Cricetulus griseus: one gene and its partners. The protein of the gene in region 1 interacts with the protein of each later gene in a pairwise test. Links are inferred from orthologs where the notes say so. Each region holds a gene or a part of one and is shown on either strand. Other genes may lie near its edges. The genes, in order: Rad23a, Mindy3, Ngly1 and Zbtb8a.

Region 1 (3,112 bases):
CAAAGAAGTAAATAAATATACCAAACCTAGGCATGGCAGTTCATTCCTTTAATCCCAGCACTCAGGAGGCTGAAGCTGGAGGATCACCATGAGTTTGAAACCATATAGTTCAGCCTAACCTATATAGTGAGACTGAAGAAAAACAAAAAGTTCAAATCAAATAATTGCAGATATGCTAGTTAAATCACTGAGGCCTTGTGGGAGGGACCCACTGTCTGGGGCAGGAAGAGGGGGGCTTGCCTCTGGCTAAAACAAGTACCAAGTGAAAATGCCCAGGGGTGGGAGAGCTCAGTGGCACGAACAGCACAGAAAGTCTGGGAAGACCTTTCTCCTGTGGCAGTGGGAAGCCACAGTGGCAAACAAGGCAGTGCTGCTTGGGTCCTTCTCTTTGTGGTGTTGCAAGTAAACCCAGGTCTCAACCTGCTAAGCACAAGCACTCCCTACTGAGTAACACTCAGCCTGTGCAACCTTTATCTTTTTTCTTTCTTTTTTGAAATGATTTCACTATTAGAAGGAGCTGTCTTCAAGTTCAGTGATCCTCCTGCCTCAGTCACCTAAGTGCTGTGCTTACAGGTATGCACTGTCACACTCGGCTCTAGAATCTATTAAATACACTCTACTTGGAAATCCAGAGATTCTGAAGCAACCGTTTGTTTCTGCAGACTTCTGACTATTTTCACATTAAAAAGGGCCTTTTCAGCAATCTAGCCTCTTGGTGGGCAGTTCACCAGGGGCACTGTGCAGAATTAGGAGACATGAGAGGAGGGTGCCAGGATACTGGGAGGGAGAAGTAGCTGCCATAGGGGTAGAAACAGAGAAACAGTCCCCACAAGGCTACCAGAGGCTCAGTGCAGAAATACAACTAGAATCAAACGGGCCTAAGAACTCATCGGTCCAGGAAGTCCTCTCATAGCTCAGATGAGAGGGTTCCAAGGGTTCTGGTGACACAGGTTCAGATAGGTCACCATACAGAGGGTCAAAAGGTGAAGGTCAGATCAAGAAGGCCAGGACTGAGGAGCAGGAAGGGGAGCAAGCACTCAAAAATGCTGTGACCAGAGTCCAGGACCCAGACATACGGCAACCTGCTCTGGGCCTGACCTTCAGCAGGTGGATGTCAATAACATCCATACCTCATGAGAGTCCAACTACACATAACCTTGCCGTCATCAGGGAGCAAGGGGCTGGGCCTGTGCTAGTTCTGCTTTCTCAGAGCAAAGCTATGTCCCTGGGTGATCCCCTAAAGAACTAGAAAAGGTGTCTGTCTCAGTTCCCTCACCCTGGGCCGCACCTGCAAGAGCTGAGGGTTCTCCTGGCCCAGTTGCTGGAGCAGTGCAGGGAGCAAGGCTGGATTCTGCTGGATCACCTGCCGCATGTTCTGGAACTGGGGCTGGTCCCGCAGGAACTCCAGGGGGTTTTCCCCTGCTGGTGGCAGGAAGAGGTGTGGTGAGAGCCCTGCAGGGCTCCTGTGTCTACTGTAGATACCCACATGTGCAAATCCATCCTACTCACCTGCTTCCACGGCCGGCTGTTCTGGTACCTGGCTCTCCTGAACAGAACCATGTTCCGGCTCAGGACTCCCGGGAATTCCCTGTCAGGGATCCTGCTTTTTAGTTCTCTCCAACAGACCCACTTCCCCCTCCCAGTTGATCAGCCTGACAGGAGACAGGAAGGCCTCATGCCTGCCTTCCACACTCTCGTACAGCCTCTTTGAGAAGCCTTCAGTGGCAACACGTGATACCCATGAGCCTATGGGGTAGGTTCCACCTCCATTGCCTGTTGAGGCACCAAGATCTGGAGACTCCCTCACCGTGAGCAAGTATTCCACAGCTCTGTGGGGGTTGTTGTAGCTGGCCCTCAATGCGGCCACAACCCGCTCCCGCTCGTAGCCCATGGACATGATCTCAGTCAGCATCGTCTCATACTCAGAGCCAGTCACTGTGGAGGGAGCAGCAGGGCCTGGGTCACCAGGGGCACAGAAGGGCTGCTCCCAGACCCTCCCATACCCAGACAAGGCTGTCAAAGGCGGATGGCTGGGGCTCCCAGTCGCCTCTGCCCTGAGGACCACCCACCCACCTAATGTGGAAGCTGCGTCTTCCTCTCGCCCGCTGCTACCTGAAGAGGGAACAGAGCTGCAAATTCAAGAGAGAGAAATCGGACCCTGGCTTCTGGTGGCTTGCCCTCCCCACAAGTGCATGGGACCACACTGGAAAGTGCAGAGGACAGGGCACAGGTAAGGCTACTGCCCCTTCCTTACCCAGAGATGGATTCTGGAGATGTTGCAGTAGCTGATTCCTCTGATGGGCTCTTGTCCTCTCTGCTGGCAGGTGGAGGATGGGACATGCCTGATGTTGGAGCCGGAGGAAAGGGTGTGGAGGACTCTGGGGCAGCAGTGGGTGAGACCTCTGGGGGTGCTGGGGTACTTTGGCCAGCCTTGGCCTGTGGCAGCAAGAAAAAGGGATCAGGCAGCAGCATCCCTATCAAGCCTCAACATCCTGCCCCATCACAGCCCCACCCTGCCTATGGCTAATCTCTCCTGGGCACACAAGCCCTTTGCCAGCATCCCAGCTAATCTACCCACCTTGGTCACCATTACAACCACAAAGTTCTTCTCATCTATATGGTATTCCTTGATGGGGACATCATCATTCAAGATCTTGCCAGCATAGATGAGTTTCTGTCCAGCCACAGGGAAAGCATCTCTACCCTTCTCAGCCTCTATCTTCTCCTTCAGCACCTTCACCTGGAATAAGGAGTACAGGCATTAAAAACACGGCTTTAATAGTGTGATGTGTATGTTTACACATAGCACTAACACTCTAAGATACCCTCAGTGAAGTCTAGGCATGGTTGTGCACACATTGAATCCCAGTACTTTGGAACGACAAGTGGATCACTTTGAATTCCAGGCTAGCCAGGACTATATAGTGAAACTGTCTCAGATAAAATAAAGACACCTTTCCTGACCCTTTTACCTTAGGGGAAAAGCTTTGCTCTCAATCATAAGAGACTCCTACTCAATGTGGCCAGTCGACAGCAATCTATTACAGGCCAGACACTTATGCTGCTCGTTGTGTGTGTATGTGCGTGTGATTGTGGTGGCCTAATTGTTCTA
Region 2 (4,312 bases), about 60 Mb from region 1:
GGTGTGTGTGTGTGTGTGTGTGTAAGATTCTGAAATTGGAATGAGAATTTGTGATGAAGACATTTGGTATATAGAACACTAGAGTCAAGGAAACTAGGAAAATAGTATTGTAGTGGAAACCTAAAGCAGGATGGTGACAATAGAATGGAAGAGAAAGGGAACAAATAGAATAAAGAATTAATAATAACAGAAGTTGACCAAATATTAAACAAGTTACTACATTAAGTAATGTAAGGTACCAAAAGTGCTTGGAGGTCAGGTGATTGGGTAGCTAGGGGCTAAGGTGTTGCACCCTCATGAACTTTTTTTCACTATTCACTCTCAACAGTGGTTCTGCCTCAAATTCTGATACTTTCGGTATCCTTGCCTGTTTTAGCCATTACACTAGTTGTTCCCTTCTTACCATATCAAACGCAACCCCACTTCAAGTCTGGGTAATTCGAATAGTACTTTATAAACATATAGTCCAAACTGATCATACTTTGTACTTTATTTTAAAATGAAGTTAATGAAATCTTGGTTTCTTTAGGGCATTGAAAACATAAAGAATTCAATTGAAGATGCAAATGAGCCTTTGATAGACCCCGTGTACGGGCATGGCAGGTAAAGGCTGCAGTCTGCTGTCTCTTACTGAACTTAGGAGCAGGAGAGTTTCTGATGAGTGTGTTGGCAACAAGTCGGGCTTGGTAGCCCTGGGCTGCGTGCATTGCATTGCTTTAGCCAGTGTTAACATCCAGTTTCGAGTTGTTTACACATGACTTATTATGACAGGTATCTTGTCAAGATATTTTTAACAAAGCCTCCTTTATTATATCCATTTATGTATTTTTTTTAAAAAGCTAAATTTACTCACATTAACCTAGAAATAAGTATTTTCTTACCTATCTGTGCTAGTTTCTTTTGGAGATAAAACAACTCTTTTCTAGTTTTTTTACTTTATTTTACCAAAAATCAATGGAATAGTGAAAATTAATCTATTCTCACACACATCCTTCTTTTTAGATATGTCTGCTTTAGTTGTTAACATTAACCTATCTTCTATCAAAGACTGCATATTAAATATAATTATAATGTTCTCCATCTATTACAAAGCCAAGGTTATTGGTTGCGGGGGCAAGAATGTATGTATAAGGATAAATATTTTAAATGTTGTTAAGAATTATGCTGATTTAGTAAAGTGAGCTTTTGCAGGTTCTTCTCCAAGACACATGACTTCATTGCCAGGTAGTAATGTTTCCAGTTCCAGTTGGTTCTCCAGTACCAAGTAGTCAGCCAGTTCCATGCACATGCAAGGAACACTATATAGACCAAGTAGTTTGTATTTATTTAGGAGATTGTGTATGTATGTGTGTAAATATATGTAACAACAAGAGAAAAGAGGCAATTAATTTGAGAGCAAAGAGGTACATGGGAGAGATTGAAGAAAGGAATGGGGGAAATGATATAATTCCAAAAATTATTATGTATAAAAATAAGTGTAAATACTAAGTAAACAGACAAATACTTATCCCTTTAAATATGCCCTTAAAGTTTTGTGGCTTCTATGATTATGGTAACAGATGCCATTGTAGGGCAACACTAAGACCTTCACCATAGCCAGCCATAGAAAAATGAAGTAAGGTTTCCTCTCATTTCGTGTTTTAACATAACAAATATAAGAAGTCATTAAAATCTTTATTGTAGGAATTACTTAATTTGAAGAACAAGTTTTACGCTTGTTTTAACTGATATTTAATTTTTATTGATAGCCAAAGCTTAATTAACCTCCTACTGACGGGACATGCAGTTTCTAATGTATGGGATGGTGATAGAGAATGCTCAGGAATGCGTAAGTATGTTCTTTGCTATGGCCTCAAATTATTAATATTTTAGTGAAATATGGGAGATTGATATTCATCTATTTAATGGCTCTCCATTATATGGATGTTAAGGTAAGTGCTTTCTATTAGAAGGAAACTTCATAGTTTCCAGGACACCATAACATTAAAGTGTAGATTTTTGGAAGCAGGCAGGCAGTCTTGGGTACCAAATGTATGAGCTTGGTCAGACTTGAATCCTCAAGGCTTTGGTTTTCTCTGTTTTGTTATTGGGACTGTGGGGACTAACTTTAGAAATAGTAATCTATCTCTTAGTAGATGTAATATATGACTACTTATCCAGGGACAGCTCTGCATTCAGCGTTGGGAGTTATGGGAGATTATAAAGTAATTGGATTACTTGTTTTGCCAGTATCCTGGGTTTCTCTGTATTACTTTTTTAATTATATTTTATTAGTAATTAGGAACAAGCTTGCTTCAGATGTCAATCCCTTCTCCCTCTCCCTCCCCCCAACATCCCACCTGCCCCTAGCCATCCCCCCTCCACTCCCCAGGCAGAGTAAAGCCCTCAAAAGGGGCTCCCCAAAGTCTACCACATCATCCTGGGCCAGGCCTAGGCCCTACCCCATGTGTCCAGGTCAGGGGAGCATCCCTTCACAAGGGATGGGCTCTCAAAATCCCTTTTTTTTTTAAGACCTTACATATTTAATACAGTGCGTTACCTCTGTACAAATGGAAAAAAATTAAGTTCAACATTTCTAGACCAATATGGCTGTTAAATTTTGTACAATGCCAACTCAACACGGTAAACTGGGATACTTTTTTCCAAAGTTGACAGCACAGCTAAAGTTTCTAAAAATTCAGACCAATAATGACAGTATGTTATGCATCAATAGCAGCAACAGCTCTGTATTACTTTTAATATATACTATAATATGCTGGGCAGATTTTGTTTTCTAATGCTTTCTATCTACTTACCTTTCCAACTACATTTCCATTTCTGGTTTCATTTATTTTGTTTCAGTAGCTTCTTATGTTGTTATGAACATCAAATGAAGTGCATTAGCCAGGCCATTCCCTTAAGCAGAGCTGATGCAAAGTAATGAATTAAATCCCCTTCAATTTATTACTGGACAGTCTGAACTCATTTCTGTAGTCATTTAACTTTTATGGAATAATTGCAATAAACCTTTTACTGAAATGTCTATTGTAGGACATGAAGCTTCATAGTTCCTGTTTGTAGGCAAATTTATGTTTTCCCCCAATTTGGTGTTCGATAGAATGGTTACCAAACAACAGAGTATATTACATTTGAGAAAATGTTACTGCTTTTCATTTATATGATTCTTAACTTTTAACTTGCATTTTCCTCAAATTTTAGAAATTTGTATAGCTATTTCATAGGAAAAATACAGTGTTAAGAAAAATTTGAGTAAAAATTATAGAATCCCAGAATTTAGAGAACACAATACACCTTTCCACTGTACTGTTTGGAAATGAAGAGCCTGACTCCCTCCACTAGGTAATGTGTTCAGTGTAACTCCCTTAGTGGGGAAGTTAGAATAAGAGCCCAGCCTTGCAAACTGCATGGATACTGAACCCCACAAGTGCTGTCTTGTTCAGTGCTCTGTACAAGCACATCCTAAGGACTCGCCATTCTGATTTAGTCTAAAAGCATGTGATTCTGCTAGCTAAAGTGCCGGTCTCTCATGGGTACTGTGCAGTTTCTTTGATTTCTCCTCCTCCCAAAGATTCCTGGTCTCTGAGGTATCTGCTGTAATTTCAGATAACTAGAGAAGGAACTGTGGTTTAAGTATCTCTTCCCATCTGGCCTCTATCAATCACTGCTACTTCCTACTGCTTGCTGTGGTCATAACTTTTAGTCTTTTGTTCATTACTAAGTTATCCTGGTGCAATTTCCTGTACATTCTCCTCTCCCCCCCCCCTTCTCGTTACCATACTACAGAACCCATATCTCCTGCCCTCCTGCCTCCCCTTGGTACATAGGCTCTTACCATTTTGAGTCTTACCTCAGTTACAGAATCTGTTCATCACTTATATAAGCCTTATTTCTGGTATATGCAAATTCATTCTTTTCTGATTCTTGAGGTACTGTTCAAGACTGTTATTTCACTATGGGTAGTTTAAAGTACAGTTTAAGAATCAAAACTAAGCCATGGTAAGAAGATAGGGTTGTCTTCAGAAAGAGAATTGCCCCAGTCTTTAAGAATGTTGACTTGAACTCAATTCTGCTTTCAGATATTTAAATATGAAATAAAAATCCATACATTTACTCTGTGTATTTCTGGCCTAGATAACATGGTAAGGAAGTATGGAACATAAACAAAAAAATATGTAGTTTTCAAAGTAACGCAAGACAAGTTACTTCCCTTCCTTAATTTCCCTTTATGTAAAACTAATACAGTCTTCAAATGGCTATTAGTAAGAGGTCTGTAATGAAGATAGGCTCATAGGAAAAACTCAATTCTCTGTCA
Region 3 (4,312 bases), on another chromosome or scaffold:
GAGAGTAAAGAATAGAGGTCTGATCAGGTTGGACCAATGGATGGAGTAGCAGAGATCATTTATGTGAGGTGATAGGCAGAGGAAACTCATGGTTCTGGAGTGGAGATTCATGAGGAATAGCATTAGAAGAAACAACCATTAAATGTAATTGTAAAGCAATTTTGTAATCATAATCATAAATGCTGATGGAGTGGAGAAAGACACTGGCAGAGGTTCACAATTGTAATGACAGTGCAAGAAATAATAGAAGACAAAATAATAAAACAGACTTCTAGTAGTTTTATTATTTAATGCAGGTTGCCACTGTCACATAGAGAAATTGAATGTGAGTGTTGAGGGTTGGTGAGTTTGTTGGAAGCTTATATGGTGGAGTATGTTTAGACTTTATAACAAAACTAGTAAGTTTCAATTCTCATCAACTACTTTTAATCTGTAATGGTAAGCAATTTATATATAATTTCCCAGTTTGAGTTTCCTTATAAAAGGGAAGAAAAATACTCTATCTAGGATTGCAGTAAAATATAGAAAAAAAGGACTTGGCATATACATAGCTACACCGAGGTTATCTATTATCATTATTACTAAATTAGTTTACAAGTTTAGTGGAGTATTTGATTAGATTTGTTCTTTGAAATTTCATACATGTTGTAGTGCATTGTTTGCTCTTCCTTCTCTTCCCTGTCATCATCCCCTCTATTCTACAAGTCCTTTCCCCACATTCATGTATTTTTATTTGTTTTATCTTGTATCTCACTGGTGGGTTTTTTGAGAATTATTTTTGTTGTGTTTTTGAGACAGTTTCATCATGTGACCATCGGTGTTGTTTTGGGATTATAGGCATATACCACTGTGCTTTGATAAGTATGCATTGTTTGCTTTTAACAACAGTGAATGGTAGAGGTGGGGCCAATAATTGATCCTGTATTCTTCCTAAGCAGAGACCCTGTTTCCAAAAAAAGGTGTGTGGGGGGGAATTGACTTTTCTTACCTGATTCAAATACAAAACAAATGTTATTTTTCTGAAAATTAAATAATTTGGTAGATAACTATAAGAGTAAAACAACTAGGAAGACAAGATATTTTCAAAGTGACAGTTGGGCAAGTACAAAGAATTTTGCTGCCTTCTCAAGATCCCATCGTTTTAACATCATCAAAAACCAACCATCCAGAAAGTGTCTCAAGAAAAGATATCAGATAATTGCTAACAAGTGAAATAAAGATTACAACTTGCAGAAATATTTAATAGATAACAGAGATGTGGGGCTATCAAATTGTGGCAACAAAAACAGAAAAATCTGCAGAGAAAATTAAGTTGATGGAGAATCAAGCAAAATTAAGGTCAATGCCTGTAGTGCCATAGACATAACAGGACCAACTTTTAGACTTAGTGTATGCTTAAGCTCATGCAAATCTGCTTAGCATTTTTAATTTTTTCAAAAAAGCATTTGGGTTGGGCATGCATAACTTATTCAAGCAACGAGGAGCCTGAGACAAGGAGAATTTTGAGTTTAAGGCCAGCCTGGGTAAAACTAAGAAAAAAGAAAATAAAGAATCTGGGAACTAGATATGACTGTCATTATTCTGTTTATAGACGATAAAAACCAGTAAGTAATTGTAATTGTCATGTAGAACCCTAGAAACTATTGGAGAAGTTAAAATAGCTGCCTTTTAAATCTGGGATATACCATTGTGGTAGCACTGACATGTTTATCACCTGTGGCATGTATCATAAAAAGTCCCAGTTATCTGTAGTTAATATTGACAAAAATTGGGGTTGCTTTATAGCTTAATTTTGTTTCTTCAAATGGCATGCCATGGACATCAGGGATGCTGAGCATTCTGTGGTGCATGGGGAATCTCCTCTCAGCTGTGGTCTAGATGTGGCTGTCAGAAACTCTGGCCTAATGCATAGAATAAATGTAGAGAGGATAAACTGTCCTTAGCTCCCAATAATCATTGCTTGCTTTTGAAATCATTTGTGGAAAGAATTTTTTTTAACTTCCAGTCCTTGGTGAATCTACAAATTTTATAGAATGCAATGGAAATCTCATGGTATTATCAAATTGTTATAAAAATCATTGACCCTCAGTCTTGCAGTTCTCATGGAAGAGAGTTTGTAGACCAGCACTAATGTATGATAGTTAAGCAGTAAATACGTAAACTTTGTCCTTGAATATTCATGTTTTCCTTTTATTACCTTACTTCACATACTAAAAATATATTTTCAACTGAGGTCGGAACTTACAATAAAAACAGTCATTGGTCCAGAGAGAAAATGAAGCTAAGTAACTATTAACGTTCATGCAAAGTTTCTTTAACTGTGTTTCAGTTCACAAAGGCTTCTTAATCACAATCTTTGTGCCATGTGCACCATTATAGATGATGGGATCCCTCAGAGCAAGCCAAGTTCTCTACCCTCTGCCTAGAGCTTACTGTCCATCATTTTCCATTAGAAACTACAGCACAGAATTAAAATATCACACCATTTCCTATGACAGCATTAATACTGTCATACTGCAGTAGAGGACAATAGAAGTACCCTGTGGTACAGAGGTAAAAATCATGAAATTGAACTGCTTGTCTGGACTGCTCACTCTTTAAAGTTGCAACCTATACGGCCATGTAGGAGTGCAGAAACTCTTAAAAAGATAAGTTGCTACATATTATCCATTATGCTATCTTTATTATTTTTTTAATCAGAAACCCCAATGATGAAAAATACAGATCCATCCGTATTGGAAACACAGCTTTTTCTACTAGACTCTTGCCTGTCAGAGGAGCCGTTGAGTGTTTGTTTGAAATGGGCTTTGAAGAGGTAAGTATATGTGTAAGGGTTTCCTCCCCCTCTTCGTGTGCAAAGCAATCAGCAGTAATAGTGAATAGTTGTTTGAATGAAATAGTATTTTTAATTAATTGATCATTTTGAAAATGTATGGAACTAGGTTTTTGCCTTGATTTTTTTTTAACCTGTTAGACATTTTTAAAGTAAGATGAAGTCATGTAGGAATTCTTACAAATCTCAGTCATTCAGAATAAAAAGGATGAAACCCAAAGATCAAATGTGGTCCCTTCAGTCTTCTCGAAAGCACTGGCTCTGTGAGTATACAGTGAATCCCAAGGTATCACCATTGTCTCCAGTAAGAAGTAGGAAATGTGAAACAAATACAGAAAAGATGAGTTAACCTGCCCCACAGAATGGTTTTCTTCTGTGACAGGAATCTCAAGATGTTTTATCATTTCATTTCACAAGAATAGTTCAGTGTTTCCATCCTCTCAAACCTGTGGCAGAGATAACCCAATAAACACAATTATCAGAATTGTGAATTTTAGTCAGATATGCTGGCATATTCGGTAGTCTTATCTACTTAGGAAGCTTAGGCTGGAAGATGGTGAGTTCAGGGCAGCCTGAATTGCATACTGTCTCTAAAAGACAGACAGACAGGATTTTGAATCTTTTATGTTCTGCTACTTCTGATGTATAGGATACATTGTATTGGAAGTTGAGCAGGACTACAGGTGCCAGTATCAGAGTCAGCATTTATAGACTTTGTTAAAGAAATAGAATGTGCTTTCCTTCCTGTTTACCCTTCCTAACCCAATTCTGTTGCACACCATAAGGATGTAGCAGTGAAATAAGTTAATATAATCCCATCTCACCCAGAGCTTATGTTCTAATATATTAGAAAACATGAAAGCAGAGACAAGTGCAAAGAAGAAAACAAGACAGGGTAATGTACTCCCAGCAGTTAGAGATGCAGTCACTGTACAGTGAAGTAACTAGGGAAGGCCTCTGAGGAAGTAAAGATAGAACCTAAGTAACAAGATACCATTCAGGTACCTGAAACTCAGTTGGTGCAGAGGATTGGCATGTGCAAAGGGCTTCTATCAGAGGTAGCTCTGACCCAGAAAATAACTTTAGGGGTAGACAGAGACCAGGCTTTCAAAGACTTTTAGATTGTTTTGAGTGAGAGAGGAAGTTGTGATAGTTTTCTATGAGAGTATTTCTAGAGACAGTTTAGGAAGTCCATGACTAAATGGATTGTAGAATCCCTTGAGGGATTCAAATTTTGAGTAGATTAATTAGACTGGATGGAACTATGGAGGTGGGGCCATAATGGAGGCAGTAGATATCTAGGAACATGCCTTTGGATGCTATCTCTTACCCTAGCCACTTCCTATTGCTGCTCTGGTATAGTTCCTGTCTAACTAGAGATGCCTCCTCTTCCACATGGTCCCACCATCATGGCTATAGGCCATGTTGCCAAGTGACTAGGGACTGAACCCTCTAAACCTGAGCCAAAATGAACCCTTT
Region 4 (5,112 bases), on another chromosome or scaffold:
GGCTAAGGACCTGGTTTGCTCCCCAGCACCAACAAGGAGGCTTATAACCATCCAAGGGGATCCAACACTATCATATGCACTTGGTATACAGACACACTTACAGGCAAAACACCATTTAAAACTTAAGAAAAAAAAGAGACAAACTATAGCTGAAAGCCTCAGTTAGAAGATGACATTTCATTTGAGTAATGTCCAAAGTAGGAAAGAGTCATTTATTTGTATCTGAAACAAGAGTACTCCAGACAAAGGGAACAGCAGGATGCAAAGGCCCTGAGTGGAACAAGCATGGAGAAGGCGTGGGGAGAGCTATGTCTATAATGCCAGCTGAGCTGGGTGGCTGAGGCAGGGAGGAGCAAGTCCAAGGCAGCCCTAGGCCACTCAGAAAACCCTCATCTCAAAATAAATTTACTTTAAAAAAAAATGTGGCTGGGCAGTGGTGGCGCATGCCTTTAATCCCAGCACTCAGGAGGCAGAGGCAGGCCGATCTCTGTGAGTTTGAGACCAACCTGGTCTACAAGAGCTAGTTCCAGGACAGCCTCCAAAGCCAAGAGACAAAAAAAAAAACCAAAAAAAAAATGTGGCTGGCACTCGGGAGGCAGAGGCAGGTGGATCTCTGTGAGTTGGAGTGAAAGACCCCGCCCCCTGGCTGGTTCTCTCTCGGTGACACTCCCGTACGCGCGCACACTCCCACACGCCTGGCGGCTGGCTCCCTCCCAAGCCGGTTCACCCAGGCGGGGGGCCCTCGACCCAGGCCCGCCCGCCTGGCGCCGCGCCCCGGGGCTGGGGCCGAGCGGGGAGAGGACGCCCCCCCCATGGGGAACCTCCGTCCCAAGGTCAGCCATCTGGACGCGGAGGGGGGAATTGGGTCTGTTGTACCAGGTGCAGACCTTGAGAATATACTGATAACTCTGTACCTCATTAAATTGTCCAATAGAATCCCTGTAACTATGCTTTTCGCTTCTGCACTGTGCTTTTTAGCTATATAAGGACCCCTCTCCCTTGGCTCGGGGCTTAGCCTACCCAAAAGCTAAGCCCCGGGGTACCAGCGCTACTAATAAAGCCTCTTGCTCTTACATCCAGAGTTCGTGGTTTCGCTGATTCCTGGGTGCGGGTCTCCTTCTACGAAAGTACCTCTTCTGAGGTCTTTCAGGAAGCCAGTCTGATCTATAGAGCAAGTGCCAGAAGAGGCTCCAAAGCTACAGAGAAACCCTATCTCACAAAACAAAAACAAACAAAAAAACCAAAAAAAAAAAAATGTGGCTGGATGGTGGTGGCGCACCCCTTTAATTCCAGCACTCCAGAGGCAGAGGCAGGTGGATCTATGAGTTCGAGGCCAGCCTGGTCTACAGAGTCAGGAGTTCCAGGGCAGCCGGGGCTACACAGAGAAACTCTGTTTGAGAAATAAATAAATAAATAAATAAATAAATAAATAAATAAATAAATAAGGAAGGGGTCTGGGAATGTATCCCAACAGTAAAATATTTGTCTAGCGTGTGCAAGTCCCTGGGTTCAATCCCGAAACACACACACACAAACACAGTGAGCCCAGTTCCTATAAGGCCTTGAAGACTATAGGTCTTCTGAGCCTTTGGGTTTTTTTGGTAAGATGTGGGGGTGGTTGCCATTTAAGGCTTGGGGAGGGTTGGGCATATGGTTCATTAGTCGAGTGCCTATGTAAACATGTATGAAGTCTTGGGTTCAATTCCAGCACAGATTCATGCCTGCAACCCCAGCACTTGACAGGTGGCTGTAGGAGAAACAGGAGTCCAAGGTCATCACAAACTATATAGATTTGGGGCCAGCCTAGGCTACATAGGACCTTGTCTTCAAAAGAAGATACTTTTTAAAAATCAGGGAAAATTTAAAAAAAACAACAACAACCTTATATCAACCCCTTTGATATTAAAGAATATAATTATGCCATTAAAAGATTTAAGACAGACTGAAATTCGACTAGTTCATCCCAACCCTCCCGAGGTAGAGATAGAATCAAAATTTCAAGCTAGCCTGAGTCCAGCTTAAAACAAAATTAAATAGGTAAATGGAAGTAAGCCTTAAGTGATAAAGATCAGTGAAGGTTTTTGGTTCTTGGAGACTGACTGCTCCAGGAGGCTGCTGGAATAGGAGGGCTGGAGAAGTTGTCAACACTCCCTGTCTAGGGGTGAGATTCCGTGGTTAGAGTCTTTCCTTTGCAAGGGAGAATAAACGGCCTGAACAGGTAGTTGTCTTATAAGAAATCAAGTGAACTATTTCATGAAAGCGAAACCACTCCATTTACTAAAGTCCTGCAAACATAAAGACTTCTAAGGTGTTAGCGGTGTGTGCGGTTGGGTGCCCGCTAGGTGTGAATCCCATTCCAAACACGTCTCGGAAAGACGTGGAATACTGCTAACCGCACGGTCAAGGGCGACTAAGCGCGCCAGAGCGCGAAGGGACCAAACCAGATAGTGTCGCCAGGTGGGAGATGCCAGGGACATTCTCCCGGGAGCCAGCTGGGGCTCCATATTCCTGTCCTCGGTTCTAAGCTCGGAACCGTCGTGTCGTGTCGTGTCGTGATCGAAAGCGAGAGGGCGGTGGGTGGAGTGAGAACGCCGGGCGGCAGCGCCCCGCGCCCCGCGCCCCGCGCGCCCGCGCCCCGCGCCCTTCCCCCGCCACGGCGCCCGACGGCTGCAGACACGCCCCGACTCCGTGGCGCCGCCTCCCTACCGCCGCCGCCAGGAGGCTCCGGCGCCTTCCCGCCTTTCCGGGGCCGGCCGCGGGCGGGGCGCGGGCGCGAGCGGCGACGACGCAGCCATTGTCCCGCAGCCGCGCCCGGGCCGCCGCGCCGCCGCCCGTGCCTCCTTTGTGGCCGTCGCCGGCCCCGGAGCTCTCCCCGAAAACGCCTACACACCGGGGCGCACCCGGCGGCCTCGCCGCCCTCCGCCAGGCTCTCGGCCGGGCCCGCAGCCCCGACGCCCCGGCCGCCCTCTGCCCGCCCGCGCCCTCGCAGCCACTTACCGCGGGGCTCTGGCCGCTCGTGCTCGCTGCGGAGTAATTCCCGGTTCCCGGTGGGGGAAGCACCCCCTTCCGAAGCCGAGGCTGTGCGCCCTAAAACAAGTAGCCCCAACGTGGGAGAAACAAAAGGTATTTGCTGACGTGGGCGTTGGACAGAAACGCCCGAGGGCTGAGGACACAATTAAAGGGGCAACGCACAGATTTCAGGCACCAACCAGCAGCTTCGCCCACTCCCCCTGTCCGTGCCCACACCCGGCTGCACCCTCCGCAGGCGCTGGGGCGCCCAGATTCCCCAGCAGTTGACTGCGGATCATTCTTTTAGTCGCGAGCTTAAATTTTAAAATTGTACTTTACGTTGGGAAAGGCGCCTCCGGAGGGCAGAAAAAGGGCTAGGATTTCTAAGATGTGGGGATATTGGTTTAAGGACAGAGGGAGGGACTTAGGCGTGCCCACAATTACTGTATAAGTACATATGACATTATTGTTCTTAAGTTTAGCAACGTCAAATGGAAGAGATTTCCACAAATTTCCTCTCTTTATCGAAGCACTTATTCTAGTCAGGGATAACCCTTTAGAAACCTTTGTAGGTCCCCTTCAGACCATTTGAAAAGGCAAGCCCAGAGAGGCTGAGATATTGAGAACATGATTTTATTTTGTGTTTTTGTTTTTCAAGACAGGGTTTCTCTGTGGCTTTGGGGGCTGTCGTGGAACTAGCTCTTGTAGACCAGGCTGGTCTCGAACTCACAGAGATCTGCCTGCCTCTGCCTCCCGAGTGCTGGGATTAAAGGCTTGTGCCACCACCGCCAAGCTAAACTAAATTAATTTTATATTTCCTCATATTAGTTGTTAATTGCTGTGAAATAGTGTATTATGATGAAATGGGGGGAGACTCAAATCTTCAAAGCATACATTTAATGTTTTTTTGAGGGGTTCCTCTCCCAAGTCTTAGTTGGGCCTATTAGGGTCTTGTTTCTTCGGTTTCCTCACCGATTAGCTAGAACAAAACATTTGGTCTTTCCTGAATATTATACCTGTTTACTCCAGAGTTGCTTTGTGATTTAGATGTGTTTCTTTACCTTTTGAGGTAATGGAAGGAAAAGTAGCCAGAAGCTAGTTTGAAAATCCTTACCACACCTTTAATCAAAGCACTCCAGGAGGCAGAGGCAGGCAGATCTCTGAGTTAGAAGCCCTCCCAGGACAGCCAGAGCCGCATAGTGAGACCCTGTCTTGAAAAAGAAAACCGTTATGGTTCAGCATTGCTGAATATGCTCAAGCTGTTCTAACATTCCCATTGAAGATTTATCCCAGAAAGAGCTGGACATTATAGTAGCTTATTGCAGCACTGGAAAGGCAGAGGCAAGCAGGTCTCTCTGTATTCAAGGCCATCCTGGTTTACAAAGAGAGTTCCAGGGCAGCCACAAGGAGACCCTGTCTCAAAACAAAAACATTCTGCTGCCAATTAAGCCAACCAGGAAGGTTCCTTTGCACCCTAGGGGGCCTGGCTTGCAATGCTTGCAAATAGCAGCCTTTTGTCCATTCCTGCGTCCAAGAGGAAGTTGGAAACAATTCTCCAGCGGCTATTCATGTCTCTGATCTGGAAGCTAGCCCTAGTCTACACTCCAGACAGGTATGTAGGGGAGCCCCAGGGCACACTGGCCACGGTTAATTTAGGCCAGGTCATCCTGTCAATCCAAACCACATCTCAGAGCAGAGGGGCCCCACCAAATGGAAAGCAGGTGAATTTGAAGGGGGAAAATGGTGTGTGTGTGTGTGTGTGTGTGTGTGTGTGTGTGTGTGTGTGGTGTGTTTCCTCCACTCTAAATGCCATTGCCACCCTGAACTCCTGGGCTCGCTCTATCATCATTGTCTTGTTCAACCACCCAAGCAGCTGGGAAGCGAGGTGTGTGCCGCTGCGCTGCGTCTGGCCAAAGGTTTTATTTTTAGTGTTAGTGAATTCAAACAGCCAACATAGCCAGGTGTGCTGTAAGGCCAGCGACTGGCAGATGTAAAACTGGAGGGCCCGGCAGGCATTCCAAGCTAGCCTAGGCTATACACCTGGACCTTTCTCCAAAAACAAGTGAGCACATAAAATAGAACAAGTCTGTAAGCATGCTTCTA

Evidence for each region.
Region 2: the proteins of Rad23a (region 1) and Mindy3 interact in binary tests that used the Homo sapiens proteins (3 or more experiments, as listed by UniProt). The two-hybrid records come from large-scale screens. The link is inferred for Cricetulus griseus from reciprocal best matches to the Homo sapiens genes RAD23A and MINDY3.
Region 3: the proteins of Rad23a (region 1) and Ngly1 interact in binary tests that used the Homo sapiens proteins (3 or more experiments, as listed by UniProt). The two-hybrid records come from large-scale screens. The link is inferred for Cricetulus griseus from reciprocal best matches to the Homo sapiens genes RAD23A and NGLY1.
Region 4: the proteins of Rad23a (region 1) and Zbtb8a interact in binary tests that used the Homo sapiens proteins (3 or more experiments, as listed by UniProt). The two-hybrid records come from large-scale screens. The link is inferred for Cricetulus griseus from reciprocal best matches to the Homo sapiens genes RAD23A and ZBTB8A.

The regions. Positions count from the first base shown.
Region 1 is NC_048596.1:159,533,329-159,536,440, reverse strand, and holds part of Rad23a (UV excision repair protein RAD23 homolog A), read right to left. Parts: intron 2,741-3,112; coding exon 2,579-2,740; intron 2,437-2,578; coding exon 2,255-2,436; intron 2,130-2,254; coding exon 2,074-2,129; intron 1,936-2,073; coding exon 1,808-1,935; intron 1,589-1,807; coding exon 1,510-1,588; intron 1,423-1,509; coding exon 1,289-1,422; intron 1-1,288. UniProt on the Homo sapiens protein: Multiubiquitin chain receptor involved in modulation of proteasomal degradation. Binds to 'Lys-48'-linked polyubiquitin chains in a length-dependent manner and with a lower affinity to 'Lys-63'-linked polyubiquitin chains.
Region 2 is NC_048596.1:219,999,961-220,004,272, forward strand, and holds part of Mindy3 (ubiquitin carboxyl-terminal hydrolase MINDY-3), read left to right. Parts: intron 1-529; coding exon 530-603; intron 604-1,748; coding exon 1,749-1,828; intron 1,829-4,312. UniProt on the Homo sapiens protein: Hydrolase that can remove 'Lys-48'-linked conjugated ubiquitin from proteins.
Region 3 is NW_023276807.1:173,735,245-173,739,556, forward strand, and holds part of Ngly1 (peptide-N(4)-(N-acetyl-beta-glucosaminyl)asparagine amidase), read left to right. Parts: intron 1-2,700; coding exon 2,701-2,815; intron 2,816-4,312. UniProt on the Homo sapiens protein: Specifically deglycosylates the denatured form of N-linked glycoproteins in the cytoplasm and assists their proteasome-mediated degradation. Cleaves the beta-aspartyl-glucosamine (GlcNAc) of the glycan and the amide side chain of Asn, converting Asn to Asp.
Region 4 is NC_048595.1:23,662,669-23,667,780, reverse strand, and holds the start of Zbtb8a (zinc finger and BTB domain-containing protein 8A), read right to left. Parts: upstream 3,371-5,112; 5' UTR 2,998-3,370; exon of another isoform or gene 2,909-2,997; intron 1-2,908. UniProt on the Homo sapiens protein: May be involved in transcriptional regulation.